Linked DNA regions of Anolis sagrei. The protein of the gene in region 1 purifies or fractionates together with the protein of each later gene. This does not show direct contact. Links are inferred from orthologs where the notes say so. Each region holds a gene or a part of one and is shown on either strand. Other genes may lie near its edges.

What was found.
Region 2: the proteins of E3 SUMO-protein ligase RanBP2 (region 1) and BICD2 purify together in Homo sapiens (affinity purification with western blotting; 3 studies listed by BioGRID and IntAct, with this or other methods). This does not show direct contact. The link is inferred for Anolis sagrei from reciprocal best matches to the Homo sapiens genes RANBP2 and BICD2.

What each region holds. Positions count from the first base shown.
Region 1 is NC_090023.1:107,219,573-107,235,753, forward strand, and holds the start of E3 SUMO-protein ligase RanBP2, read left to right. Parts: upstream 1-8,078; 5' UTR 8,079-8,255; coding exon 8,256-8,330; intron 8,331-11,703; coding exon 11,704-11,771; intron 11,772-13,360; coding exon 13,361-13,472; intron 13,473-16,181. Other genes in the region: LIMS1 (LIM and senescent cell antigen-like-containing domain protein 1), read left to right, coding at 841-988. UniProt on the Homo sapiens protein: E3 SUMO-protein ligase which facilitates SUMO1 and SUMO2 conjugation by UBE2I. Involved in transport factor (Ran-GTP, karyopherin)-mediated protein import via the F-G repeat-containing domain which acts as a docking site for substrates.
Region 2 is NC_090022.1:61,126,027-61,141,638, reverse strand, and holds the start of BICD2 (protein bicaudal D homolog 2), read right to left. Parts: upstream 8,005-15,612; 5' UTR 7,524-8,004; coding exon 7,284-7,523; intron 1-7,283. UniProt on the Homo sapiens protein: Acts as an adapter protein linking the dynein motor complex to various cargos and converts dynein from a non-processive to a highly processive motor in the presence of dynactin.

The DNA.
Region 1 (16,181 bases):
ATGCTTCTGGGAACGGCTGTTGGACTGCATTTTCCAGTATTCCTTTCCATTGCTTTATGCTAGCTAGGCTTGATGGAACTTGTGGTCCCACAATATTTGAAGGGCTGCCTGATTCCACCCCAGCACACAATAAAGGCTTGCCCTTTTTGAAGCAGACATTGGTTGCTTGTTCAGCAGGATGACCAGTTTACATCCTTCACTCCAATCCAGAACAATCTAGTACAGAACTTTAAATAACGTCTGTATCCTATTGCTTTTATGCCTTTATATAGACTAATATAAGCAGTATGGGGTCACAGCTTCAAGATGATTACACACTACCATGAATTCCGTTAAGATCCACATTTGGAAGAAGGAAGCTCCGACTTAAGTAGAATTAAAGACTATATGCTGTGTACACACTCCAAAATTGGTACACCATATATATATGTTTTGTATAATACAAAAAGATGTGCACTCTCTTTTTCCCCTAGCCTATTTTACATTTGGCCACTGCCACTTTTCATTTTCCACAGTATATGCAAGTAGGGGTTGTAAGAGTGTTTCATTCATTATGCATTTGAAGTGTATATAGCATACGTTTTATGCCAATGTAGCACATGAAGCTGTGTTTATGAACATTAGCAGTGTACATGCATAGGAAAGCAATTGATGGCTTTCCTGTTCTGTGGTAACAAAGCCATGTTTCAGTGTCAGGCAAAGGGCAGGAATCATTTCCCATTACTATATTTGCTGTTTTCACTTCATTTCTGTTTTCTGCTGAATTCTGTTCTTCTACTTGACTTGACTCTTGATGCTTTCCTGTTCTCCCAACTGTTTCTTCTTTGCTTTATCTGAAAGGGACAAGTTTGTTGAAATCGATCTTAAACCTGTGTGCAAACACTGTTATGAGAAAATGCCAGAAGAGTTTAAGCGGAGACTTGCCAAACGGGAGCGTGAACAAAAGGAAAAGGACAAACATAAAAAGAAAAAGCCAGTTTGCCTGTAAACATTTCATTCCTGTCTTCTACTTTCTCTGCTCCTTCCTTTCTTTTGGTCAGTTTGAAGGAAAAGCTTTTCTTTTAGATGTTGTGGTGTGCATGCAAATGTGATCAAAATAAAGTTTCATTCTCAATATCTAAAGGCATTTTAGAGGAGTAAGGTATGGGATGCATCCTGCATGCATGGTAGTACTTGTGTGTGTGTGTGTGTGTGTGTGTGTGTGTGTGTGTATATATATATATATATATATATATATATATATATCTCAAAGAGTTCAATCACAACTTCAAGCAGGAATGTGAGAAATTTCCAGAGAGGTTTGCCTTGTTAAATTTGATTGCCTTGTTCATAGACTTTTAAGGGAATCCAACGTCATCACCTTTCAGTTATAGCTTCCTTTGTTTTCCCAGTTTTTTCAGTCTGTTTTGCTTTCCAGAGAAAAACCAGTTAAGAAGGAAAAGATGCAGTGGCTGCATTATACTTTTGGAGTAGTAATGCTTGGATTTGCCTGTTGCAAAAATTACTGGTCACGGTCTAATAGTATATTTCAATATCCAATGCCATTATAAGTTGTGGTTTCCTCCTCTTCCCTGCAGCTCTCTTGGTACCAAAATATATTTCAGGGTGTAAGCGGAACTGCAGAAGGGAAAATGGATCACCTTTTCTAACAGAACAACAGGATCCCAAAAGATCCCAATTTCAGATCCTGATCTCCACATCTCTCTTGACAAAACAGTAGATGTTAGCATAAATGTGCTCATTTTAAAAGAGACATCTCAAAACAAATTGCTGGGAACTAAAAGACCACGTCGACATGTATTTTTCAGCAATTTGGGAGGCATTTGTGCACTAATAACAATGTCTTTATGTTTATAAACTTCCAAAAACGACAGTAGTGTAATTTATACTGAATTGTAGAGATTAGTTTTAATTTATTGTTAGCTAATTGTATACATGTATGGATTTTATTTGTATCTGTTAAGACACCTATTTTTCCTTTCCAGAAACAAGTTTGTGGAATTTGATATGAAGCCTGTCTGTAAGAAGTGCTATGAGAAGTTCCCACTGGAACTCAAGAAGAGACTAAAGAAATTGGCTGAAACTTTGGGAAGAAAGTGAAACCCTCTGCTTCTAGACCTCCTCTTGCTATGCAACATGTAGGAAATTGTATTGATGTAAACAGACTTACTTTTGTTGAGTCTATCAAACATTAACTCAGAAGAAAAGTATTCCTCAGCATGTCTAGCTATACACTAATACATTTGCCTCACTTTGAAAATATACCTCTAAAACACTTTCATGTTAAGGTTTGGAAACATGTGGCTCTCCATATGTAATTGGATTGCTACAGCCATCAGTCTTAGTGATCATTGCAAATATTAAGGTGTTTACAGTCTAGAAATATATAGAAGCCACATGTTCCATAACCATGCTTTTCATCTTAAGCAAGCTCATATTCAACCATTTAAATAATGTATCTTATATGGCTTTATAGATATATAAAAACATACATCCCTTGTATTTGCTTAGCAGATAGTGGATGAAAAAAATAGTGGACACTGGGAATGAAGTATAAGATTTCCCTTGACAAAAAGACCAAATCATTATAAACTGAATTCCAACGATATTTGTCTAATTATTGTCAGCTGGAGAAAAATGTAGCAGAACCAAAATGAAGTAGAAATACATCCAGCATTATGCTGGCTCCCGACTGTCAGTATGACATAACTTTCTTCTTTTGATCTCTGAAAATGGGCTCAAGGAAGTTTGGTGATACATTGAAGCAGTTACCATATGAACCTGACTAAATCCTCTTACCAGAAACCAACCTATCATTGGATCCTAGCAGGAGAGTATGCTTCATTTGGGACTGGAATCTTATAGACAATTATTTGGTGGTTAGTCATAGGTTTATCTCAAGGAGTGCCCTGTTCAGTGCCAACAAAATATTAATTGAATCATGGCCAAATGATTGCTTATCAGTACATATATATGCATTTGTTTTAAACACTCTTCTATTCAATATTAAAAGTTGAGTGTATTCTAACAGGGCTGTTCTGCTGTAAATGACAACTTAGGAATGCTTCTAACTGCTAAGCATACTAAGCAATGTGTTCTGAACTGGCCAGTTTTAATGTTAACATTTTTGAGAACAGTTATGAGATTTTTTGAAAAATTAGTTCTGGTTATACAATTTATTGTTTGTGAACTAATGGGAATCAACAACTACCATATTTAATCATCTAATGCGCTATTGAATATAATAAGCATCTCAATTTTCAAAACCTTGAAACCCAAAAAAGTATTTGCTGCTGAATTTTCAGCAGAAAAAGGTGCATTATTTTAATATGCCCATTCCAGTTGCTGCCTGCTTAGAATTCCTTCTTTAAAAGCAAAAGTGTTAGAACACCAAAACTTCCAGCAGTGGAAAAGACAAGTTCGTGTTCTAAAAGGAGGCCTTTTTAAAGTTTATTGGAAAGAATTCAATATATCTGAATTTTGGAGATCCTAAGATTTTTAACACCTTGGATATGAATTTTAAAGAAGCCTTATTTGCCAACTCTTTGCAGAGATTAATAACTTTTTAACTGACTAGTATACACAAGAGCGGAGACTGCAGTTCTCACATAATTGGAACACAATGACTCCAGAATGCATCATTTGAAGATGGCAAATCAACCCAGAAAATGGCAACAGAGTCCTGTGTATCTAAAATATATATAAACACAGAGCTACTTGAATATTATGGGAATTTTTCTGTATAACAGATACATATTCCTGTGTGCTTTTGTATTTCATTTCCTTCTTGTGCCTTATTCTGCCATATGTATGCAATATTAGCCAAAATAGCTATATACCGTTACCTTGTATTTTTATGCAGTCCATTCATGCCAAGGCCTTTCAAATGATATGGCATATACTCAGCCTTTTCAATGTCAATATTTTTAATGATAAAAGATAATTTTCAAAGCTAATTTCCTTTTTATTTTCTCAATTCACTTATTCCAGAATAGTACACAAAATAAAAATCTGAACGTGTACAGATTCCAACTGAGAGTGTTGTGTGTTAATTGGTTAATAAAATATAATTATTTCAGCTTCTTTCTTTGCTGGCTAGAGATTACATATAAGTAACTACAGTCCTCCATATATGCCATATACCAGTCTTTATCTTCTTGCCCATTAATCATGATGACCATATCTAAGAAACCAGAGATGGTGCGGTCTATCCAACTCACAACCTTGTGCATTTTCCTGCAGGAATCAGTTGTTTATCCCACATAAGGAATTTTTGGTTTAGAGATTTACATTATGTATCTTTGTTAAATATACTTTGCTTAGTACATTGAATGCTGGAGTACCATAGCATAGATATGCTATACATCCTTATGATTATATAACAGTATTACTTTTGGTGTATAGTAGCTTTTTGCTCTTTGTATTGCGGTCTATCCAATGCCATTTTCTGAATCAGAGCCCCAAATTACCGTAGGAATAAGTCCCAAGACCAAAGTGTTCATGGAATTTACTTCCAAATAATTGTATATAGGATTTCAAAGCTGAACTCAGTGGGAATAAACATGTAGGATTGTATTGTCATAAATTTGATTTTGCTACAAAATTACAAAGGAATGACAAATCTCATTCATAAATTAGTTTCAAATTTATAATTATGCTGACCTGATGGTTCATCAAGGTCCATCAGGAGAGGCAGATAAGAAATAAAATTATTATCATTATTATTGTCATCATCATATCACCATCATCACAATAGAAACAGTATCCAAAAATGATGTGGTGGTATAATAATAGCAATACTGTGTATAAAAACATTTTAAATATGTATTTAGTTACAATATTTTTATTCTGCCCTTCTCACCCTGAAGGGGACTAAGGGTGGATCATAGAAAACATATATATGGCAAACATTCAGTGCCAATTATAACAATGACAAGACAGGCAACAGATAGACGTATAGATGGGCTTTCCCATCTTCCAGCATCTTTGGACGCTGTGCTTGGTTCTGCTGTCGCTCCACCTCCCTGCCTCCCTGTTTAGAACTGGGTCTAAGCATTCATATCATAAATCTTGGTTCCAAAATTATACCTATCCCCAAAACTCCCAAACTATGCTATTAACTCTTCTACTACATATTATGCTGTTTCCTTGACAGTCAGGGAAACAGCAATAGTCTGGATGACCTATTTCACCAGTGGCCTTGGTAATGTCAATCCCCAGATATAAATTTCTCAGTGTCCTTTAGGCAATGTTCTTGCAGACGGCCAATTCTCTCACACCAGAAGCGACTTGCAGTTTCTCAAGTCACTCCTGACACGATAAAAAAAATCCCTGTCATGGGCTCTGTAATGTACCCACACAATAAAAAAAATCCCTCAATCACAGGCTCTGAAATGTACCCACAAGCTTTGTAAGCTCCTCAACGCCCAATCTCAATAATAACAGAACATACCTTGGGTCAAGAATCTACCGAAAATAAAGTTGTGATGGTATAAAACCGAAGACCGCTTTGTGGTGATCAGAGGTGAGACCAAGTTCTTACTTTATTTGGAAATTCATCATTCTTGGGTTAATGATAACACTAGCCAACACACATTTTGATGCCTCAAATGTTAGGCCTGTTTCAGGACATATTTGGCCTGCTGATTCAAAAACTGGCATCAGTTTCCCCCTCTCAGCTCAAGTTTTTGAGATACAGAACACATGCTATATATCAGCCTTCATCTGCTCGCCTATGAGAAATCATGGTAACCATATCTAAGAAACTAGAGCTGATGTGTTCTATCCAATGCCATTTTCTGAATCAATGCCCCAAATAATCCCAGAAACAGGCCAAAAAACGAAGTTACAATACTTTTTTTTTGTTGGTCTGTCTTACGGGTGCATCTACATTGTAGAATTAATGCAGTTTGACACCGGTTTAGCTGCCATGGCATGCAATCATGGGAATTGTATTTGGTGAGGCGCCAGGACTCTGTGCAACAGTTCCCCCGATTCTGTAGCATAGTTAAGGTTCTGTCATGCTTCATTAATTATACACCCTATGTGTATGTGTTTTCATACACTCAAAGAATTTAAATAATTTGTATAAAGCGACCCTCAAGCTATGTGAATCAGATATGAAACATTAACAAATTTCGCATTTAGACTTGGGTCTCATTTTCAAAATATGCCATTATATGCAAATACTGGTTCAGGCATGTGGGGGGGGGGGTTGAGGGGCTTCAGGGCAGGCCCGTAGCCAGGATTTCGTTTCGGGGGGGGGGGGGGGGGGCTGAATTTTTTTCAGGGGGGCTGAGTCTGAGTGAAAGAGGGTCTACCCTCTACCCTTTTGTATTATTACCCCAATACCCCCATGCATATGGGATATATTGAGTATGGTGATCAGATCATGATATGAATAAACATAACAGTTTAAATAATGCACCAGTAAGGCCTTTTCGCTGAAGCCCCCCGAGCCCCCCCCGAGCCCCCCCCCCCCAGCTACAGGCTTGCTTCAGGGTGGTCTTACTGGTACACTAGTTATGTTTATTCATAACATAACGGTGCTCCATGCAGTCATGCTGGCCACATGACCTTGGAAGTGTCTACGGACAACGCCGGCTCTTCGGCTTAGAAATGGAGATGAGCACCACACCACAGATTCGGACACAACTGGACTTCATGTCAGGGGAAAACCTTTACCTTTACCTATGTTTATTCATATCATCTGATCACCATGCTCAATATATCCCATATGCATGGAGGTATTGGGATAACGCTCCAGCAAAGGGTCACCGCCTTGTTGTGGCGCTGGAGCTTGAGCACCTCAATGATGTCATGAGCGAAACCGTGAAGGGCCACCCAAGACGGGACGGTCGTGGCAGAGAGGGCAGACCAAGCGTGATCCCTGGGGAAGGCAACGGCAAACCACCCCAGTATCCTTGCCAAAAAAACTAAATGGACCAGTACAACCAGAGATATGTTGGTATGCCATTGGAAGATGGGAAGATGACACCACTCTGATGGCCGAAAGCGAGGAGGAGCTGAGGAGCCTTCTAATCAAGGTGAAAGAAGAAAGAGCAAAAGCTGGGTTGCAGCTAAACATAAAAAAAAACAAGATTATGGCAACAAGAATGATTGACAACTGGAAAATAGAGGGAGAAAACGTGGAGGCCGTGACAGACTTTGTATTTCTAGGCGCAAAGATCACTGCAGATGCAGACTGTGGCCAGGAAATCAGAAGTCGCTTACTTCTTGGGAGGAGAGCAATGTCCAGTCTCGATAAAATAGTAAAGAGTAGAGACATCAGACTGGCAACAAAGATCCGCTTAGTCAAAGCCATGGTATTCCCTGTAGTCACCTACGGATGTGAGAGCTGGACCTTAGGGAAGGCTGAGCGAAGGAAGATCGATGCTTTTGAGCTGTGGTGTTGGAGGAAAGTTCTGAGAGTGCCTTGGACTGCGAGAAGATCCAACCAGTCCATCCTCCAGGAAATAAAGCCCGACTGCTCACTGGAGGGAAGGAGATAGAGACAAAGTTGAAGTACTTTGGCCACATCATGAGGAGACAGGAAAGCCTAGAGAAGACAATTATGCTGGGGAAAGTGGAAGGCAAAAGGAAGAGGGGCCGACCAAGGGCAAGATGGATGGATGGCATCCTTGAAGTGACTGGACTGACCTTGAAGGAGCTGGGGGTGGTGACGGCCGACAGGGAGCTCTGGCGTGGGCTAGTCCATGAGGTCACGAAGAGTCGGAGACGACTGAAAGAATGAACAACAACATTGGGATAACGATACAAAAGGTTTGCTAGGGTAGATCCTCACCCCCCCCACCCCACCCCCGAATCAAAATTCTGGCTACAGACTTGACTGGTATCCAAAAACCCGGAATCCCAAACTTCTGACCCCATTCACTTTGGGATAAGGGACCCTTAATATGTCTAACGGAACTCGGAAGGTTTCTCCCTACGCGAAGTGAGTGCATCCCTATTTATTTATCTCTATGGGCGCAAAATCGATAGGCCACACCCCTTCCTCGATACTATGAAGGAAGCGCGCCTTCTAGGCGCTTCCGCTCCACCGCTGCCCGTCATTTCCGTCGCGCCGCTGACGTAACAGACGTGTATTGAGGCCCGCGCGTACTGACGCTCGTGGTGGCGTCATTATCATCATCGTTCTTCGAGAGGGGAAGCTACGAGGCCGGCTCTGCGGGGCTCCCCACCCTCCTCCTCCTTTCTGGCGGCGCCAGGGCGCTCTGTGAGGGCCGCACGCCACCATGATGAGGCGCAACAGGGCCGAAGTCGACCGTTACGTGACCTCGCTACAGGCCTCGGCGTCTTCTCCCAGAGAGGTGAGTGGCGGAGTGCGGAGGGCTGGCTGGCTGGCTGGGTGGGGGCGTCTGTCTCAGGGAAGGGTGCCCGGCTCAGCGCTATTCCCGTCAAGGGTTCGCAGGAGGCCGCTGATTGGTGCGCACAACGTTCGCTTTTGAAGGCGTTCTCCAATGGGCTTCGGCGCGCGCCGGGCCCCTACCGCACACTCGCGCGTAAATGCGCCTCTCTCGGAAGGAGGGAAAGGAGGAGGAAGCCGGGCTGGGCCCCCGTGGTGTGGCTTCCCCTTTGCTCCTGTTTGCCAACACTTTTTGTGTAATTGGCGGGAACGCTCTTGAGTTGCATTTACACCACTATTAACAGCCATAGCTCCAATGCTATGGAATCCTGGGACCTGTAGTTTGACAAGGCCTTTAGACTTCCCTGCCAAACACTGCCAAAGTACAGGAGGATTGGAGATTTCTAGAGAGGTATGCTCTCTAGGAATTTCTAGGCCCTTGAGCACACTGCTTCTTAAACTCAGGATCCCAACCCTAAAGGAGTCGCTGTACCTCAGTGTTGGAATCATAGAAAATGTGTGTCTGAATGCCACCATTTACACAAATCTGTTAACAGTGTGTACTGTTTACAGTGGGCTCTGCAAAAAACGCTTCATCTGTATTCCACCAAAAGAAAAATAGCCTGTTTCACAAATTTTGCAAATGCTGATTTGCTATCAATAAATCTTTGTTTCTTATACCCATTTTATATACCTGGGGTAATATAAAAGTTTCTCAAGTGAAAAAGGTTTAAGAAGCCATTCTCTGTTACATCTCTGCAGTCAAACTCTGGCAGAAGTTACCATAGAGTCACACTGGAGATCTCAGAGTTTCTGGTAAAGGCAATAATAAAATCTGCAAATAGTCAGATCCATAAAGTGAACCCCACTAATGTGTAGGGTGGATTGTACATTCTCCAAACTCAACCCTAGCTATTTTGTTGACCTTTCACTTCCTATGTCAGCTTTTAAAGTATTCTATTAAAACAACATCAAATCTACAACAGCCTCAAGGCAATGCAACATAGGTTGCTGTTCGCTTCTCAATATTGTGAACGTTGCTCACGTGCAAATATCTGTGCGCTTGTTAGATTGGCCTCCAGTTGTCTGCTCTTAAATCATATGTTTCTTTTCCTCAAACACATTTAATTAGAACCCATGTATGATAATTAAAAGCTTATAGAAATTATGATGTTTGAAAATTTCTGTTTTGCAAGTTCTCACTGTAAATAATTTAATGGCTTTTCCATACTGAATTCTTGTCTACTTTGCAAGGGACCGAAGAGGCAAATTAGTTGCTTTATTTAAATTTAACTTTTGATTCTAGTTGTTAGTAGCAAGTATTCTGTTCATTGTTGTTTAAGGGTTTTGTTGAATGGATTGTTGAATGGATTAATCACCATTGTTCAAAGTATTGGTTCTAACACTCCTTGTTGTTTTTTAACCCTTTAAAATTGATAAACTGGCCCACATCCTTTCTAAATCACCAGTGGACCACTCCAAAAAACGTAACAAGTAAATATTACTCCTAATAACAAAAAATGATGTTTGATGTGTTAATTTTAAAAAATGATATTATTTGACCATGTTGCCCCAGAGCAACAAGTTACAGGTAGTAAGATGATTTCTTCCAATATGGAAAGCCTTCCATTGTTTTCACTTGTCTGAAAATCCAGTTTAATGATTGCCAACCTTGAACACACGAAACATTACTTAGTATCTATTTACAGTGTCCCTTATCCATGGCGCTTGCACCGGCAGTTTTATTTACCCATGTCTGGCAAAATATGTCCTCTCCAGGTATTTTCTAGATCCCTTAGCATGAGTTTATGGTATTCTTGAGCCAAATACCCATCATTTCAATAAGATTCGCTATTACTGTGGCTCCATGTGTCCAAGTGAAGTCCAGGAATGTGGATACACATCTCGTACTGTGTTGAATTTTAAACTAATGCAAAAAAAAAAACCTATGTTGGGCCAACAGAATATCTGATTGCACAGATCCCTGCTCTTAAAGTAGAAGGTAGCACATCAAAAAAAGAGATAGACAGGTTCCTCTTATATTTTTTGCATGCACTACTCCACTCTATTATCAGAACAGAGTTTTGCAAATTCACATTCTTCTCTGTGACACAAAAATCTTTAATTTTTTTCCTGTCTAGAAAATGAGAAACAATATTATATTCTCAACTTGGGTTCTGATAAATCACCATTCAGCATGCAGAATTCATCAATTCTGCAAAATCTAATGTTTGTCTCCATTGGCAATAACTTAAAGTGTCCTACCTAGGTAGTGGTCCGTTTATGTGGTTCTCAAGATGCCATTAAAAAGGGAGATGCTAACTGGATCTTCAGATTTAGCAGGAGATAAGACAGGTCTATAGTAAGTAGGATATCCCAGTTCAAGTCTCTCTGGCCATATAATATGAAATAAACATTTATGGCCAACGGTTGCTCAGGATGACTTGCAGTAAATCATAAAAATGTTGCATGTGTTAAGAATTGAATGTGACACGTAATTTTGCAACCACAAAAGAACTATTTGTAACTTTTAAAACTATTTAAACCAATACCAATCGGTATCGACTTAAATAGTATCTCTCAGAAATACAGTGTACTGCATTTCTGAGAGATCTATGTTCGCTTTTCTCTGTTATAAAAGGGCTAGAATGAGACATCTGTGACCTTTTTCATAATCGTTAAAAAAAACACCCCAGTAGCTTTTCCTTAACTTCCAATTTAGGTTGAAATGATGGGCTAGTATAGCTTCAGTTACACAACATTTGACACAACATTCTTTACCTTGGAACACCTAGCGATCTACATTTTTGTTGTTGAGGGAGGAACTTTTTGATACATCTGAAAAGTGGTTTTCTGGAGTGACTAGTTTGTATCTCAAAGTTTACAGAAATATTTAGTGCTTTTAAATAGCCACCCTATCACCCTTGAAACACTTGTTCTCGACATCCCTGTCATCATTTACTTTAATGGGTTGTAACAAGAACAAATATATGTGGCAGGACTTCAGAATGTTTCAGGTGCTTGTGAACGTAAGGTATTTTATATTGCCAACATGGAATGAATAATCATTTCAGAAATGAATATCTGGGTCTGGAAAAACGTTGACATGCTCTTTTTTTGTTCTGTGTGAATTGACATATTTTCAGAGATGGGTCATTAAGCAGTTGCTAAGAAAATCTTGGCCACGTGTTAGTAAAAACAAGGAACAATGACTTTCAAACTGTTGACAATGTGGACTAGTTTGAACCATTGCATTTAAAAATCCATCCCATTACAAGATTCAAGCTATAAATAACTGATGTTAGGCATTTTTTTAAAAACCTACATTTTTCTCTTAGAAATCCATGAAAGGATTCTTTTTTGCCAAGCTCTACTACGAAGCAAAGGAATATGAACTTGCTAAAAGGTAAAAGATCTCTGAAGTAACTTGCTCTTGTGTGCTGTGTTTCAGAATGGTTTTTTTCTAGGTTTTGAGCATCTTCTGTTTAGAGATCTTTGATTTCCAGTTTAGTGTGTGACAAGTACTCATGTATAAGTCTTGAAATCTTAGTACAGAAATCAATCAGAATATCTAGATTGTCTTATCCTTGAGTCACTGTAAGTACTGTCTCTTAACTCTTATAAAAAAGGAACGATCCCCTTTTCTGAGAGTGTGGCAAAAAAGTAAGAACTTAGTACATATCAGGAGAACTTTTAAAAAGTATTTGCCTCCTTAACTCTCTCCTTTGTAGCAGCGACTGCTTCTGGCCTTTTGAATGTTTGCGTGAGAAAATGTTTCCTTCTCCACAGAATGACCCTCGACTTATTGACAGGTCACGTCACAATCTGTAATTTTGCCCCAAAACCTTCCCTCAACTTATATGTGAAGTTGACTTATACATGAGTGTATATAGTATATGTGTAATATGCTTATAGTAACTCTTGCATTTCTCATGTATGTTTCTATAGTGTACAGAACAAATGCTGGATATTCCTTAACAATGTGCAGTGAAACTTTAAAACAGTATACATTAGGCTTGGTTGATCAAGAAAAAAATGGTTCTAAACTCGTTTCGTATGCTGGAGGTTCGATTTTTAAAGTATTTCCGAAATTTTCTTTAAAAAAAGATCGAAATTACCAGGAAATACAAATTGTTTCCTTTGTTTCATTAATGGAAGGTGCCCTTCCCTCCCTCCAGAACCATTTAAATCTCGCAGTTTCCCTTCCTTCCCTTGCGGCAGAAGGGAGAGGTGGGCGTGGCCAAGCACAGCCCTCCTCGGAGACCTCGCCCCCAGCGACCTCCAAGTGAGGAGCGCTGTGCTTGTCCACGCCCACCTCTCCCTTGGACAGCTTGCCAGGGAAGAGAAAGAAAGGTGAGAGATTTCAAAAGTGTTGGTTTTTAAATCTCTCACATTTCTTTCTCCTCTCTGGCAAGCTGTCCAAGGGAGATGTGGGCGTGGCCAAGGACAGCACTCCTTGGAGGCCTCGCCCCCAGCGACCTCTGAGCGAGGAGCGCTGCGCTTGGCCATTCCCACCTCCTTCCTATTTGCATCGGCGGCTTTGCAAGGTGGGTGTGGCTGCTCCCAGCTGTTCCGCATCGCCGCTTGTCGCCAGGGAGGTAGTCATGCGCACCTCGCAAAGCTGCCGATGCAAAGAGGAAGGAGGTGAGCGTGGGTAAAAACAGCTGTTCCTAAAGGCCACGCCCCCAGCATTTACGATTCACTGGTGGAAGTCGTAAGGAAGATGGGGGCGCGGCTTCGATATGGCAAAAACACTTCCGGGTTGCCAAAACGCGTCGATATCGCTTCTAAAGGTAATTATTTAACAAATTGGAGGCCAAGCACAATTATTTAACAAATTAATAACGAATTAAGAAATTAACGAACTGGATCAACCAAGCCTAGTATACATGAAAGTTGGTGCTCCTGATTCTCTTTTAATTATAACTACATAATGATTATTATCATCAGTCATTAACTGCCTGCATGTTAACTTGCTATGCTGTTTCTGCAAAGGTACATATCTACATACCTTGGTGTCCAAGAAAGAGATCCCAAGGCACACAAATTCTTGGGACAACTCTATGAAGCGGAAGATAACATAGAGAAAGCTGTAGGTTGTTACAAGGTGAGAAATTACTGACATTGTTTGTGTTACATGGATGCTAGATGTGTGGTTAAGATTCTTACTGAAATATACTCAGTATTTATTTTGAAATACAATTTAGAGTGTTAGAAAATAATTTCTAAAAAGGTGTAACAGCATGACTACACTAAAACTGAGTCTGAAACTACAGTGTTCCCTCGCTACTTCATGGTTCGTTTTTTGTGGACTCGCTATTTTGCTATTTGGAGTGTGGAAGGGGGTTTCTCCCCCCCCCCTCGGGAGAGAGGCAGCCAATCATAAAAAAGAGAGAGGGGAGATACAAAGCAGTATGTAAATCACGGCCTTATTTATTTATTTATTTATTTATTTACTTTGCTTATATACCGCTGTATCTCAAGCCCGAAGACGACTCACGGCGGTTCACAAACAGTAAAAACAGTAGAAACAGCAGTGGTTCCATACAACATATAACAATTGACTTAACACATTATCCATAAATTACCAATAAGCAATTACAATGCACAATTATTACAAAAAACAACCGTACCCAATCTTCTCATCATCCAAGTGTAGTCCAGGTTCGTCGTGCATTGTTCCATTCCTATGTTCCATTACCAGATTGCACTAAATTACTCAAACGCCTGCACAAACATCCAGGTCTTCACCTTTTTGCGGAATACCATTAGAGATGGTGCTAGTCTAATGTCCGTAGGAAGGGCGTTCCACAGCCGAGGAGCCACCACCGAGAAGGCCCTATCTCTCGTCCCCGCCAGCCGAGCTTGAGAAGCAGGCGGGATCAAGAGCAGGGTCTCCCCGGAAGATCTCAAACTCCTGGTGGGTTAATAGGCAGAGATGCGGTCAGATAGGTAGCTTGGGCCGGAACCGTTTAGGGCTTTAAAGGCCAACGCCAGCACTTTGAATTCAGCCCGGTAGCAGATTGGTAGCCAGTGGAGTTGGCGCAACAGGGGGGTTGTATGCTCCCTGCGCTCCGCTCCTGTTAAAATCATGGCTGCCGAGCGTTGGACTAGTTGGAGCTTCCGAGCTGTCTTCAAAGGCAACCCCACGTAGAGAGTGTTGCAGTAGTCCAAACGGGATGTAACCAGAGCGTGGACTACCGTGGCCAAGTCAGACTTCCCAAGGTATGGGCGCAGCTGGCGCACAAGCTTTAGCTGTGCAAATGCTCCCCTGGTCACCGCCGAAACCTGGGGTTCCAGGCTCAGCGATGAGTCCAGGGTCACACCCAAGCTGCGAACCTGCATCTTCAGGGGGAGTGCGGCCCCATCCAACACAGGCTGTAACCCTATGCCCTGTTCGGCCTTGCGACTGACCAGGAGTACCTCTGTCTTGTCTGGATTCAATTTCAATTTGTTCGCCCTCATCCAGACCGTCACAGCGGCCAGGCACCGGTTCAGGACCTGGACAGCCTCCTTAGTAGCAGGTGGAAAGGAGTGACAGAGTTGGACATCATCCGCGTACAGATGACACCGTACCCCGAAACTCCGGATGATCTCCCCCAGCGGCTTCATGTAGATGTTAAACAACATGGGAGACAATATTGAGCCCTGAGGAACCCCACAAGACAATGGTTGTGGGGTTGAACAGGTGTCCCCCAACAACACCTTCTGAGATCGACCCTCCAGGAATGACCGGAGCCACTGCAAAACAGTTCCTCCAAGACCCACCCCTGCGAGGCGTCCCAGAAGGATACCGTGGTCGACGGTATCGAAGGCCGCTGAGAGGTCAAGCAGCACCAACAGGGACACACTCCCCCTGTCGAGCTCCCGGCGCAGATCATCCACTAAGGCGACCAAGGCTGTCTCGGTACCATGTCCCAGCCTAAAGCCAGACTGTGCCGGGTCTAGATAATCCGTGTCTACCAAGAATACCTGGAGTTGTGAGGCCACCACACGTTCCAAGACTTTGCCCAAGAAGGGGAGATTGGAAACTGGCCGATAGTTGTCGAATTTAGTGGGGTCCAGTGATGGTTTCTTCAACAGCGGTTTTATTATAGCTTGTTTTAAGCTCGCTGGAATCTTGCCTTCCCGAAGGGAAGCATTAACCACCACCTTAACCCACTCAGCCAATATAGCTTATAGCCCCTTATAGCTAGCAACAAAAAAGTGTGCTGTTCCTTTAAAACTCCCCTCGCTTCTGCCTCACCCTCACAGTGCATTATATATATAGAGAGAGAGGGAGGGAGTCTCTGCTTTGTGGACTTACATTTTTTGTGGGTGGACCTGGAACGTAACGCCTGTGATAAGTGAGAGAACACTGTATTTACCGTATTCTAGCTCAAGAAATAGTTGCTTGTTCAGCTAACTGGATCATTATATGGCTAGTTTTCCTTCCCTTTTCTGTAAAGTACAGAAACAAAAGAGAAACAACTCATTTGTTGTATTCGCTAGCAGGAAATAAGAAAGAGCTAACTTCCCATGAAGCTTTTAATCCTTCTATTATGGGCCTCTGTACTGTTAGCCTTAAGATATGTAAGCTAATAGTGTTAGACTCGCTCAGTGGCAATCAGTTGTCTACATTATTGAGCTTAATTTCATCTAGGATCAGTGCCTGAATTTCAAGCACCCTGGTTAACTACACAAACCAGCACCTTTTCTTTTCTTGCACTTCTTCCAAGCCCTTGCAGTTTTGCAGGCACATTTTTCCCCTTGACTTAGCAGCAATTCCAGCTTGGTGTCTGGTCATGACTAGCACATATAACTCTGTTTTTTATTT
Region 2 (15,612 bases), on another chromosome or scaffold:
GAAATCCCAACCAGTTTACCCGCTGTTAGGATTTCTGGAAGTTGAAGGCCAAAACATCTGGGGACCCACAGGTTGAGAACCATTGACTTAGGGGTTGAGCACCAGCTCCACACACACACACACACACACACACACACACACACACACACACACTATGATCCACCAAACAGTACCTCTTTTGTGTAAAACATCCACCAAGGTGAGCAATACACAACAACCGTTTCCTCCAAGAGTCACATTGGAAGCAGTGAGATGGAAGCTTTTTCATGACCTACAAAACCCTATACGGTTCCGGCCCAGCGTATCTGTCCAAACGCATCTCCCTTTACGTCCCATCTCGGAGTCTAAGATCCTCTGGGGAGGCCCTGCTCTCGGCCCCGCCTCTGTCACAAGTGAGATTGGCGGGGACGAGGAGCAGGGCCTTCTCAGTGGTGCCCCCTCACCTATGGAATTCACTCCCCGGGGAGATTAGATCAGCAACATCCCTCCTTTCCTTCAGAAAGAAATTAAAAACATGGATGTGGGACCAGGCGTTTGGGCAATCTGGCAGATGAATAAAGGCTGTGACGATGGATAGGAATTGGACGAGGTGGAACGAAATATGAACTCTGAGTTGGTGAACGTTGTGTCTGAGATTGGCTATTGATTGTGTGATATATTGTTGTTTTAATTGTTTTAATTGTTGACCATTTAATTGCTGGTTTTATATGTTATTGTATTGTGCAGGCACCAAGATGTGCCTTTTTGTAAGCCGCCCTGAGTCCCCCCTCGGGGGTTGAGAAGGGCGGGGTAGAAGTATATGAAATAAATAAATAAATAAATAAATAAATGTGGCATTGTGCCCATTGCTTAACTAAGATGCACACCTGACCATATAAATTCAGGTGGAGGAGACAATAGGTATTGTCTGTATCCCTCTACTTAGTCTAAGAAAAATGGCAGGAAGCAAAAATTACAATAACTGTGCATCTCCGAGCAATGTTTATTTCCTCTTCATTACACAATTTTTCATCACTATCTGACAAACAATCAAGATGCAATCTGTTTCACAGGATTGTTCTACCTCTTCTGACAGCTCAATATTTTACCAAAAATGCTAGATCCCAGAACAGGGTGGGCACAAAAATGGAGAGATGACATTACAGACTCACACATAACAATATTTTTTCTTTCAAATAAGCTGGCTATTTAGAATAGAGAAACAGGAAAGAAAAAGAGCATGTTCCCATATTAAGCAGCCTTTTCAGCCTTTGCCTAAACAGAAATGCTAATAATTAGCAACATGCAATCACTGTGTTCCTGCTGTTATAAGTACTGTACATTTGCATAGACTTTTGTTTTATGGCTCATCTGGATACAAATCAGTGTGTGTAACTAAGAATAAGAGTGAAAAATATTCTAATACATACAACCTGTTTAGATACTGATAAAAAAAGCCAATGCAGAATTGTATTTGAGAAAGACTATGTGCTAGCTCTGAAGCTATGGTTATACATTTAGCCACCCTAAATCCCTGATCAGGAGAAAGATGGCATACAAAAATATGCTATTTCTTAAGCCTAGCTCCAACAGCTTATATTGTAAATCCCATCAAGATCCAGTGAACTTATTTCTGACTAAACCAAACATAGGAAAAGACTAGAACTCTTCTGAACAAGCTTAACCATTGTGATTCTGTGTATAAGCAGCAATTTAAGAGTTGTTTTTTTCAGGCAGCTCACTGCACATCTGCAAAAAATTTAGGAAGTCCCTAATGAGACCCAGACTTCCCCATAGCAACAAAGTTGTAAAGAATTATAATTTTCCCAAATCCAGTCCATATGTAATCAGGCTCTCTACCAATGATGTGTAGTTTCAGCTCAAAACATTCCACACAAAGAAAAATGGAATAGATTCTGCTCCTTGTATAGATTCCCAATTATAAGTAGAGAACATCTGCTTAATTTTTAGCATAACATTTTAGCATTTGCAATCAAAGGAAGGGGTAACAAGATCCAAAGGTATTGAATTCTCATCTTATCTGATCATTGGAAATCCCACCTCCTTCCCAGTTAAGCCACAGAAATGCCTTTCATCTGTGCTTATGTTGCTGATTGTTGCAGTTGTCACATTTGCACATGGCACAGAAGAGGAGGGACACAGAACAGTGAGCACAAAGGCATCACACTGCTGTTCAAACACACCATTTGTAAGGCCTGCTCCAGGCGATGGACATCACTCCATAGATACGTCTTCCCAGAAACTAAGATAGATTTGGATTTAAAGAAGACCTTGAAAAATAATTAATAGTGACCTCCTAAAACTCTTTTGATTAAACGGTGAGGATAATATTAAGCACCTTGGTTGAGAACAGGCTTCATTAACAAACCGTGCCATCATAAAGACTTGCACTATTTAATTAAACATTTTTCCTCTGTTAAGTAAATACTGAAGTTGGGCCTGCATTATTGTTCCAATGGCTAGCAAATTTGTAATGTTTTATGCCACCTTAAAAAACCAGCTTCTCTTGTGTCCATTAAATGTATTTATTTATTTATGTACCATATTTATAGCCGGCCTTTCTCAACCCCGTAGGGGACTCAATGCGCCTTACATATATAGACAACAATTCAATGCCATGTAAACATACATATATAATAAAATAAACATATACATTAAAATAGTCATTAAAAACATATCAAACCTTAAAACACTTATTAAAAATCACAATATCCAAAATCATAATCCATGGCCATTCCAGATTGTCATTGCACTATTCCGTATTCTCTAATGGGTTACTAACCAAATGCTTGATCCCACATCCACATTTTTAGCTTTTTCCTGAAGGTGAGGAGGGAGGGAGCTGATCTGATTTCATTTGGGAGGGCCACCACTGCGAAGCCCCTGCCTGTCATCCCTACCAGTCGCGCCTGCAAAGGAGGTGGGACCGAGAGCAGGGTCTCCCCAGATGATCTTAACCTTCTAGCTGGCTCATAGAGGGAGATACATTCAGGCAGGATCCCACAGGTAAATCGGGCTGGAACGTTTAGGGTTTTATAGTCTAAAGCCAGAAATTTGAATTGTGCTTGATAGCAGACTGGCAGCCACTGGAGCTGACATAACAAAGAAGTTGTATGCTCTCCATACCCCACTCCGGTGAGAAATCTGCTTGCTGCCTGTTGGACTACTTGAAGCTTCAAGAGCAACCCCAAGTACAGCATGTTTCAGTAGTCTATTCCCGATGTAACCAGAGTGTGGAGCACTGTGGCCAAGTCTGACTTCCCAAGATACGGGCGCAACTGGCACACAAGTTTTAATTGTGCAAAAGCTCCCCTGGCCATTGCTTAATCCTGGGGTTCTAGGCTCAGCAATGAGTCCAGGATCACTCCCAAACTGCGAAACTGTGGGGGGAGTGTAACCCCATCCAGCACAAGCTGTAACTCTACACCCTCTTCGGCCTTACGACTGACCAGGAGTTCCTCTGTCTTGTCTGAATTCAATTTCAATTTGTTTGCCCTCATCCAGACTGTCACAGCTGCCAAGCGACAGTTCTGCTGTTTGCAATTAAACAGCTTCAAATCAAAACCAAAGAGAGGGCTTCCATGTTTTAGTTTATCCTTTTATTTAATTTAATATAATAAAATAAACTTTATTTATACCCTGCCACCATCTCCCAGAGGTGCAAACACATAAAGTACAAAAATTGCAGAAACAATAACATCAAACAATAACAACCAACGTGAATATCTCACTACACAAAACCCATTGGATAAAATCAGTAAAATTCAGAAATTCAGCTGCAGGTATATGAGTGATAAAAACAAAACAAAAATGAGAGGTTAAAAACCTAGAAAAGCAAAAATCAGGTGATGTGCTCTAAGTAAGTCACCTGATCAAACCTACCCAAATAAAGAGAGACCATAGCTACTCATTCTTCTATTATAGCACACATTGTGGGACAGGGAAAAATGGATGATTATGTTGGTAAGGGAAATATTCATAATAAATTAATTTACCTGTGCAAAACTGTGGTCATAAGACCTATTCAACGAAAACCAAATACTTCATAGTCACGAGCACACAATGGCTGTTTTGGACTCTTTCTTCAAAAGAAAAGTCCTGAACATAGTTGAAATAATATCTCAAACTCTTAGGCAGGTGTACACTTTCCAGAATCCAGAGTAACAATTGAAATGGTTTTTACACCACTGGGAGAAGTTAAAGTTATTGCCTTCCGAGCTTCCATGAACTTCCATGAGTTTGTTCTGTTGCTTTCAATAAACTGTTCATCTATTTGCATTAACACTGCAACCTCCCAGCAGACAAAACTGCCCCGAGGAACCCTTAATTATTAGCTGTTTGAAAATGCATACTCATTTCTCTGGTTAAGCAAATATGCCTCCCACACTCTCCAAATATCAGTAATTGTGCATCTGAAGACACAATGCAGCAGGCAATTAAATAATGTAATTTAGACCTAAGTAGCTAATTCCATCGAGCCAACCTGAAATAGGCCAGGAAGGGGACAGTTCTTGTAGATGCCTGTACCAGATTTCAATCAATAACTTGATTATTAACCTCAGTACTTTGGTTGAATAAACAGTGTAGGAATAATGCTGTTTTACGCCATTTTAAATGCATGGCTCAATGCGATGGAATCCCGGAAGCTGTAGTTTTACAAGGTATTTTAGCTGCCTCTCGCCAAACTACCAATCCCAAGATCCCATAGTAATGAGCCATGGCCATTAAAGTGGTGTTAAACTACATTCATTCTATAGTGTAGAGGCATCTTTAGTGGCAATGCATCAACTGAGTGGATGAAGTTTGACTCCACTTTAATTTCCATGACTCAATGCTAATGAATCCTGGAAGCTGTAGCTTGGTGAGAGACCAGCACTCTTAGGCAGAGAAGGCTCAAGACCTGTAAAACTACAGCTCCAATGATCTCATAGCATTGAGCCATGGAAATTAAAGTGGTGTCTGATTGCATTCATTCTACAGTATAGATGCACCCTATCTACTGTCCTGGCCATTTCCCTGCAGTGTGGAGGAAAGCTGCAGATGTCATGGGACCGGCACGGTGCATTAAGGGAATACACTGAGCTGCCCCTTTAAGGGAATGGCAAGGCACTGCGCCAGCAGAAACAAGGAAGGCCAAGGCGCCTTTCTCCTGTGACTTTATTGCCAATGTGCAAACCTAGGGAAGGTGGGCAAGGAGTCGCTTCCTTTCCACATCACACACATTCACACCAATATTAATGGGTTTTCATCTTAGACCTATGTCTTTGAATATATGTGTGTGTGTGTGTGTGTTTCAATGGCCTAATATTTTTGTGAATTTGAACTGACGTTTTATTAGTAGGAATTGTGATTTCAGTGTGTTTTAATCTCAGGTCTATGTCTTTGAATATATGTGTTTTAATAGCCTTGTTTTTATCTATGGAGAGGTCGGTAACAAATTAATTATTATTATTCGCCATCATCACCAGCCAAGTGCACAGTCCGACTGCCTGGCCAGAATCCCCAGGGGATTTCCAACCACTGGCCTATACTCCCCACACACACACTGTATGTCTCTGGCATGTGCAAGGGGGTCCCTATGTCTTTCCTACAAAACAACCCTGCCATACACACTCTAAATTCCAGGCTGCTCTAACCACTGTGGCTAGTGCTTCCCACCCACCCCCTGGCATGCTATACATCTCCAGCATATTCAATTCCAGCCTGACCTGATCCACACTGGCTCATGCTATAGATCTCCTGCAGGAATGCCCTGTCTTGCAAAAAAAACAAACCCAACAACATTACATTCCAACCAGCCCACCCCAAGGGCCCAGAATAAAGGAAAACAAGAAGGCCTGGCCTTCCTCCACACCAGCTGCTACTTAGAAACATGTGTGTCTGTGTGTGAGTGTTCACTCAATTCCTGGCTGGCAGGACTCTTCCAGGCTGGCAGAGCTGTAAGCATTAGCCCATGTTCCCCCCTGCAATCTGTATCTCTCCAGCATGCATACATATTTCCTGCCTTGCAACCCACTCATCATTCCACTTCCAGGGCCCAGAGGACAAGTAGGCTTTCCTCCCCTCTTCTTCACTCTCTTTCTCTCCCCCTGCTCCTATTCTTCCTTCACCTCTTCCTCTACTCTGCCTTTTCCTTCCTCTCAACTTTCTACTCCTCCCCCTCTTCTTCCTCTCTCTCACCCAATACTTCTTCCTCTTCCTTTTCACCTCATTCTCTTCCTCTACTTCCTCCTCCCTTCCTCTTCCTCACCCCCTTCTTCCTGCCCCTCCCTTTCTTCCTTGTCTTTCCCTCCGTCCTCCTCTCTTTTCTTCCTATTTCTCCTCTTTCCCCCAGCACTTTTTCTTCCTCCCCCTCCTCCTTCTCTTGCTCCTGCCCCTTCTTCCTCCCCTTTCTCCTCTTCTTCTTGTCCTTTCTTCTTTTTCCTTCTCCTCCTCATTCTCTTCCTCTTCTTCCTCCTCCTTGGCTTCCTCCTGACCCTTCTTCTCCCTCCCCCTTTCTTTTCTTCCTCCCCCTCTTCTTGCCCTTCTCTTTCTTCTTCCTCCTCCTCTTCTTATGGTTCCCTTTCTTCTTCTTCCTTCTCCTCAATCTCTTTCTCTTTCCCCTCGCCTTGCTCCTGACTCTTCTGCCTCACCCTGTCTCCTCCTCCTCCTTGGCCTTCCCTTTCTTCTTCTTCCCTCTCCTCCTCCCCTCTTCTTCCTCTCCCTCTCCTTGCTCCTGCCCCTTCTTCTTCCTCCCCTTTTCTTCTCTTCTTCCTCCCTCCTTTCTCCTCTTCCTCATTCACCACTTCATCCTCCTTATCTTCCACCCCTTCGCCTTGCTCCTGTCCCATGTTCCTCCTCCCCCTTTCTTCTCTTCTTCCTCCTCCTCCTCTTGTCCTTCCATTTCTTCTTCTTCCTTCTCCTCATTCGCTTCCTCTTCGCTCCTGTTTATCCCCCTCCCCTTGCTCCTGAGCCTTCTTCTTCCTCTTTTTCCTCTCCCTCCTTCCTCCTCTTCTCCCCCACCTCTTCATCCTCCTCTATTCTTCCTCCCTTCCTCTTCCTCCTCCCCTATCTTTTCTTCCTCCCTTTCTCCTGTTCTTCCTCCCCGCTCTTCTTGTCCTTCTCCTCCTCTTCCTCCTCCCCTTGCTCCTCTCCCCCTTCTTCTTCCTCCTGCTTCTTCCTCCCTTCCTCTTTCTCCCCCCATCTCCCCCCCCCCTTTCTTCTTCCTCCCTTCCCTTTCTTCTTCCTCCTTTCTTCCTCCCTCCCTTCCCTTCCCTTCCCTCCCTTCCCTTCCCTTCCCTCACCTCCTTGAGCTGCTCCATCTCCCCGCGGGCGGTCTCGTACTCGAGCTCAAGCTCCTCGTACTGCTGCTTGAGCTGCTGCTTCTCCTCCAGCACGGCCAGCCCGTACTCGGCCGCCTGGATCTTCTCGCGGGTGGTCTCGCCCAGCTCCTGGAAGAGGCGCTTGACCTCCGCGCGGAGCCACTCCGGGCCCGACTCCCGCACCAGCCTCGCGTACTCCTCCTCGTCCGGCAACGCCGACATCTTCGCCCAAGCAGAGCTGCCCTCAGCGGCAAGCAGCGGCGGCGGCGCTCTCCACCAGCGGGGGAGGGAATGCGGCGCAGGCAGAGCGAGACGGAGCCCGCGCTGGCCACATAGACCAAAATAGGGATGCGTGTGCGTGTGTGTGTGATTTTCTGCAGGCTTCAAAGCCGCGCCAGTCTTCGTGCGGCCATGGCTCCTTTTCCTCTAGCCCTCCTCGCCCAGGCTGCCATTCAAGGGATCGAGTGGATTTCCTGGCTGGCCCGCGGGATCCTCAGAGCATGATTGCGGCGCCTGCCTGCCTGCCCGCTTCCTTCCCTTGCTGCGGCGCTTCTCGCTGGGAATGGAAACCGCAGTGAAATCATTCAAAAGGAACGGCCAGGCGCTGGCCCCGCGGCATTGTAGGAGTTGTAGTCCGCCGCTCCTTAGCGGGCGAGCTTATCCCGAGGCCTCGGAACTACCCTTCCCACAATGCACAGCGAGGGAGGCCAGCCGCAGCCGATGGGAGCCGGCCCTGCCCTCTTGAAGGAATTCTTGGGAGGAGAGGAAGGAGCTGGCGGCGCAGCGCTGCGGGGGCGAGAGCGGCGTCGCCGGATGAGGCTCCGAACAGCGACCCCTGCAGGCCGCGCGCGGGAAGTGCGGCCACACTTGGCTCTCAGCCTGAACGAGGGTCCGCCTCGCAGCTGATTGGGGCTTTCCCTTCATTATTGTCACCATCGTCAAAATCACCATTTTCATCATAATCGCCATCACCATCATTATCCTAGAGACACCAGAGGCACTCCCAAGTGGCCAGCGTCTGGCCAAAGGAAATTTAGCAAAATCCCAAGTTTTCAACTTTGTGGGGTTTTTTATAACTATATTCTCAATTCTCTTCTGACATGATAAATAAATAAATAATCTTATGTATTTGTATTCTGCTTTTCTCCCAAAACAGGGAGCCAGAGTGGCTCACCATCTGAATAGCTATACAATTTACAAATCTTACAAAATGCAAATATTAGAACTATACAAAAAAACGTTGAGTCCCCCTCAGGATGAGAAAAGCAGTATATAAATACTGTAAATAAATAAAATATGATTATATTGCATTATGATTTTACAAATTAAGCCCTAGAACATCATGTTTTATAACAAATTGACAGAAAAAGCAGTTCAATACACAGTAACATTATGTAGTAATTACTATATGAATTCAGCACCAAAATAGACAAGGGTTCTTTCTTTCTCCGTGGATCTGAGCGGGAGGCAGATTGTGTTGGATAATACAGAACACTGGCTGAACAAAGATTGGATAAGCGAGACTCTACTGTAGTGAAAGGGTGAAGGCATTGACATCTCTGGCCCATTCTCTATTCAGATATCAGCCAGCAAACCAATGCTTGGTGAGGTAGAAAGCAATGGGGAAAGAAGAAGACCACATTCCAAGTGGTGTGATTCAATCAAGAAAGCCATGACCCTGAGTCTTGAAGACCTGAGCAGGGCTAAATGAACATTGGGTGGCTTAGGGGTCTCTCATTTATAGGGTTGACTTGATGAAAAGAAATAGGGTTGACCAGGCATGTAGCCAGGGGGGGGGGCTTGGGGGGCTTCAGCCCCCCCCCCGAAATTTTCATGGTGGTTCGCGAAAAGGCCTTATTGGTGCATTATTTAAACTGTTATGTTTATTCCTATCATGATCTGATCACCATACTCAATATATCCCATATGCATGGGGGTATTGGGGTAATGATACAAAAGGTTTGCTAGGCTAGACCCTCTTTCACTCAGACTCAGCCCCCCCCCCCAAAACTCAGCCCCCCCCCGAAACCCCCCCTGAAAAAAAATTCAGCCCCCCCCGAAACGAAATCCTGGCTACGGGCCTGGGGTTGACTTGATGGAAGTCAAGGTGACTCAAGGCTACCCCTCTATTCTGCTTTGGTTAGACCACATCTGGAATATTGTGTCCAATTCTGGGCACCACAATTCAAGAGAGATATTGACAAGCTGGAATGTGTCCAGAGGAGGGCAACTAAAATGATCAAGGGTCTGGAGAACAAGCCCTATGAGGAGCGGCTTAAGGAGCTGGGCATGTTTAGCCTGAAGAAGAGAAGGCTGAGAGGGGATATGATAGCCATGTATAATATGTGAGAGGAAGCCACAGGGAGGAGGGAGCAAGCTTGTTTTCTGCTTCCCTGGAGACTAGGACGCGGAACAATGGCTTCAAACTACAAGAGAGGAGATTCCATCTGAACATGAGGAAGAACTTCCTGACTGTGAGAGCCGTTCAGCAGTGGAACTCTCTGCCCCGGAGTGTGGTGGAGGCTCCTTCTTTGGAAGCTTTTAAACAGAGGCTGGATGGCCATCTGTCAGGGGTGATTTGAATGCAATATTCCTGCTTCTTGGCAGGGGGTTGGACCGGATGGCCCATGAGGTCTCTTCCAACTCTGATTCTATGATTCTATGATTCTATAGAGCATTCTGAATACCACTCACTAAAAAGCAAATTATAGGATTCCATGGGATGCTGTCATGGCAGTTTAAGCATAATTGTGCTATTACCGTGCAGTGTGAGCAGGCCTTAGGACATGTTTCCCCTTTCATCTATATCAATATACTAAATCAATCAAGACAGTACATGAGGCAATAAATTCCTCCTTTGCCTACATCTCCTACATCTTGAAGTAAAATGAAAAATTATAACAAATAAATACCTTGTCATACCACACTGTTATAGTGCTATTATCCCACTTTAACTACCATGGGAACATCCTGTAGAATTCTTAGTTTTACCTCTGTTTATGTATTGTCTGTCCTTGTCAATTGTATGATAGCGTTGAATGCTTGCTGTATATGCATTCTGTAATCCTTCCTGAGTCCCCTTGGGGAGATAGGGCAGAAAATAAATAAAGCATATTATTCATATTAGTAGTAGTAGTAATAGTAGTAGCAGTATTGGAGCCCCCTGAAGACCGACAGGTCAGAGATTTGAATCCAGGAAGAGCACAGATGAGCTCCCTCTGTCAGCTCCAGCTCCCCATGCGGAAACATGAGAGAAGCCCCCCAACAGGATGGTAAAACATCCAAACATCTGGGCATCCTCTGGGCAACGCCCGCACAGACAGCCAATTCTCTCACACTGGAAGCAACAGTTTCTCAATTTGCTCCTGACACGATAAGAAACTATTATTAGTGAGGCCCAAAAGCTTGCTGAATACCCAAATTGTAAATACTAGGATTCCATAAGATGTTGAAATGACAGTTACAGTGGAAAGATAGTGCTATAACAGTGTAGTGTGATAGGACCCTCGATGATCAATGCACTTTTATGATACCCCAGATCTGTTGTCTTGAGACAGACATCTCACTGTGTTAAATGAAAAGAACAGTACCGCTCCTTCCTCACCCCAAGGAATTGCAACAGTCTCTCTGTTAATCTAACAAAACAGCATGGAAATGCATTATTACAGTTTTATTATTTTAAGGAAGACGTTGTTGCTAAGGTGGAGAGCCACTAAGGTGATGCTAAGGACTGGGCAATGATGACTCACCTTCCATCTTTTCCCCAATCACTTCTGGGTTTGCCCAGTGGGAATAAGCAGCTTTGTCTCAGAGATTCCCCAGCAGGGTACCAATATAAGAGAAGGAAACCCAGCAGGTCGTGGAGCTGAAAAAGGATTTGGAGCTGGGTTTCCCACGTCATGGAAACCCTACTTTAATGCTCCAAACTTGTCCTAGATTCCATTCAAAGTGCCATCTCTGTGCTTGGCCTTTCAAAAAGCTTATTACAAAGTCTGTGGCCAAAAGCTTCCTGAGTAAATTTAATCATGGAAAAAGAGAAAGAGATCTTCTGAATCCATAAAGTGGCTATAGAACTGGAAAACATTTGAGAGCTCTCACAGTGGCATTATATAATAGCCCTAAAATTCAGGATTATTTTTTTAAGGAGTACTTCAAATTTCCTCCTGGAATCACCCATTTTTCAGAAGCTAATGTAATTCACCATGTTACTTTTCATCATAAATAAATGGTAGCAAATTCAGAAGGCAAACCAAAAACAATTACCCGTCCTGCACACACCTGGGGATTAAACCACGCAGTACTTGCCCTGCCTACTGCCAAAGGGCTTTATAAAACACTTTCATCTTCTACCTTTCAGTCATGTTGATCCAACCTGGCATGCTTAAAGCATCAGCATTTATTAAGAGGACATTTAAGTTCACCTGTAGAATCATGCACTGTATCTGCAATCTGAGCATTTCATGTTGTGTGCACGGTGAGGCTGGATTTACCACGTGAAAAAAAAAACTGCAATGACACACTAAATTCTTCACTGTTATAAAACTTTCCGGAAACAAAAATATAAAAGTTTGATGTAATCAGCTATTTTTCTTCCCTCATTCTGAAATTAAATTTAATTGCATCAAGCATGAAAATATTCACATGTTCTTGAACACCCAGCATGTATTCAGTTTTTCCTTCAATTCATGTTAGGCCACGTGGCTTGAATTTAATTGAACTCCTAGTGGCGTTTGGTCTATTAGCTCATGTGGTTTACTGGTAACATAGTTAAGTGATTTTAGACCTTGAATTGAGTGGTCTAAGTAAATGAAAGAGGAGGAGCTTTCAATGTCCATGTTTAACATTTCAGAAAAAAACCCAAACATTTGTCTTTTGCACCTCTTTCTGCCACTTCATGCTTTACAAATGGTGCATTCTTCATATTTTTAGAGCAAAACAAAAATGACAGTTTGGCACTCCCTGTTTCTAAAAAGCAGTCTGAGCATTATTATTATTATTATTATTATTATTATTAACTTTATTTATACCCACCTTTTGCCCAGTGGGGGCTCAAGGTAGCTAACAATCCCACAGCTAGTCAAGTTTAAAAAGCACAGTACAAAAGTTTTAGAACATGAGCATGTGCAGAAACTGATCATTATTGAAGATTCATATGTTGTTGGTTGATGTTTGCTTTGATATTTGGTAATGATGTTATTTTTATTTTGTTTTTATATTTTAACTATGTTGATTGAGCTCATCCCCATGTAAGCCACCCCTTTGGGGAAATTGAGTCCCTTTGGGGAAATGGAGGCAGGGTACAAAAATAAAGTTATTATTACTGTTAAATGTTAAGCTCACTTCTATCATAATAGTAATAAAATGGAGTTCAATTTATTTCAGATGACCCTGATACTAAATGTATTGACAAACACTATTTTGTTAGATTCACAGAATCTTTGAGCTGGGATAGACCACAAGAGTCATATAGTCTAAACCCTTGGCATATGGGAAGACATAGCTCAAGCACTCCTAAAAGATGCCCTTCCAAGATGTTTAAGGACCTCCAAAAACGGAGAGTCCACCATCTTCCAAGGCAGTCTGTTCCATCGTTGAACAGCTCTCACAGTAAAAAATGTCCTTCCTAATGTTTAGATGGAATCTCTTTTTCTTCTTATTGAAATCTATTGCTTCATATTCTAGTTCCTGGAACAACCGAAACAAGTTCTCACCTTCTATATGATCTCCTTCAGATATTTAAAAATGGCAATCCTATCATTTCTCCAAGATGGACACAGTAGAGAATTATTAATTGGATTATCTCCCTGAGGCACAGTCTCCTAGAGGAAGGTGCCCCCATGCAATTCTCTCACTCCTGTTCCTTGTAGAAAGAAGTATTGTAATATATATTTCATGTAAAATCTAACCATGTATATTTTTGGCTTCTCACTCCATGGTTTTAAAATGTTTTATAAATGAGCAAGGAAGGATACTTCGGCATCAGTCCTGTCTGGACCAAGCAGATGCTGATGCCAAGCCTCTTTCTCATTACTCCCCACAACTGCTGCCATCTAAGTTTGTGATGGAGAGAGGACATTTATTGCAGGGTCCCAAAGTGCAGCTCTGGCTGCATCATTAAATTTTATGTAAATCTTCATCAAAAGGGACTGTGCAATGCTGCAGTTTTGGAAGGCTGGGGACTAAACAGGCTTAGACATTCTTGTTACCCAGATAAGGAAATGGCCAATGCATTCCCCTCTGAACAGCTCCTCAAATAAACAATTGACATTCCTCTAGGTTCCTGTACTGTATGCAATTCCAGGCCTCTCCAAGGGTTCTTTTTGTGCTGGAGACTGACACATGTTACACATTGGTGGTAAATGATGCAGCAGATGGTACACTTCAGAGAAACATTCATGGCATTTCATTGAAGGGCTCCAGCATGTTCCCACAGCTGATGGTAGAACTGGGCCCCAAACAAATTCTACCCACTTATCCCTTGGCTGGTAATCAAATTTCCCATTGCTTAGAATACAGTATGTCAGACTCCCCTAGTCTGGGGAAAATACTTTATCCTGAAGTTAATTGAAGATGGGCTCTTTGGAGTTATATAGTGCAGAAGCAAGTAACAAAAAGGGAAGAGCTCAAGCATGACCCATCTCCCTGCTAATAGCTATGAGAACTGTATAAGTGGTTCAGCAATAGAGGGGGAAATCATTTCTCCAGTTCATTCTCAGCTTTCATTGCTGTTTTCAACCTCAAACTGCAAAGTAAATGGAAAAAATATTCCAACAAGATTATTGCTGCAAGTTAACTTTTTATGCCCCTAGACTGCTGTTAACTTCTAGCTGAAGTGTAAAGATTGCATATACCTGGCTTTGGCAATATATCTTGAGAAGGAGGAAATTGGTAATCCAGGAAACAAACATGCTATGCCCAGGGAACCCGTGACGCTGTTCCAGGAAGAAATTCAGGAGAAACTGAAGCTGAATGGACTTCAGTCTCGCCTCAATTTCCAAACAAACAGGTAACAATGGCAGTCTCTAAATCTACAGTTTTATTCTAATAGCCCAAAGCCAGATTTTGGAAATTGAAAAAAGCTTACAGGACCATTTAGTTAGCACATTTCAAAGCTCAGACCAAGCAAAGTACCTGGCTAAAATGAATCAAGAGACTACAACTCTCAAGAGCATATACATTTGGATGTTGTGGATAATCAGTGACCTACCCTACTGTAGAGATTACAGCTGTAATATTACCCCCCACCTCCAGCAAGATGTATTAAAATACAGACATACATAATTAACAATGGCTCTTTCCAATAAATATCATATTAAAAAAAGATTATTATGCCTGCTGAGCTCTCCGTTTTTGTCTCCATCCTCTGTTTAGTTAGAAAAGTTTTAGATCATTGGCATTGGGAGGAAGGTGAATAAAGGCCGGAGAAATGCAGACTTTTGTGCCTGGCTGCAGCATAATATCTATAATAAACAATCCCCCAAAATCTTGGGCTGGGAAAGAATGGGATTCTATCCTAGCCAATCCTAATATAGCTTTGTGACCCTGGCCAAAGTAAGCAGCAGCTGCCTCTTGAATCCCTTACTGAGCATGTATGAACATGAAAAGGAAGAGAGAGGAAGAGAACAGAGAAGGCAGCCTCACCAGGTCCCGTCCCCATCCCCTCAACATAGGTTTTTAAAGCATACATTTAGAACTTTCACTACCAAAATCAAAATCTTAAGAAAAGTGAATGCTTGTGGAAGAAAAAAAAATTACATGGTGTATTTTGGATGAAGACTTGGGGTTGTCTTTAGAAAGGTGAAAAAGTTTGTATTTACATGTGCAAGGCTTACCAAATCTGGTAGTTTCATTTCCATGTGTAGAGTTAGTTTTGAATTAAACGATTGTTTGAATATGTTGAACTGCTTTTCTTTTTGTAGTGTAAGAACCCATCCCCATTCCTTACATGTTTTTCTGCTTCTGCTACTACATTTTCTGTTAAAGAAACAAAGGCTCAGGATATATCTCTTTCATAGATTATAGTATAGCTGTACAAACATCTTACAAAAACAGGTGAAATCATAGAAGTATCCTCCCTTCTAGTGAATGTGATCTGTCAATTCAGTCTCCGTAATCATGGTGAATATTAATAATTAAAAATAAACTAGCAGAAAGGGTAAATTGCAACATGCTCATTAGCTGATGAGTTGAGTGGGGAACAGATCTAGGTAATGACTAAAAGAAGGTGGGGAATGTGTGGTCTTCCAGATGTTGGAATGCATCTCCATATTGTACTAGTGAGTGAGCATGAGAAATGCAATCCAGTAACATC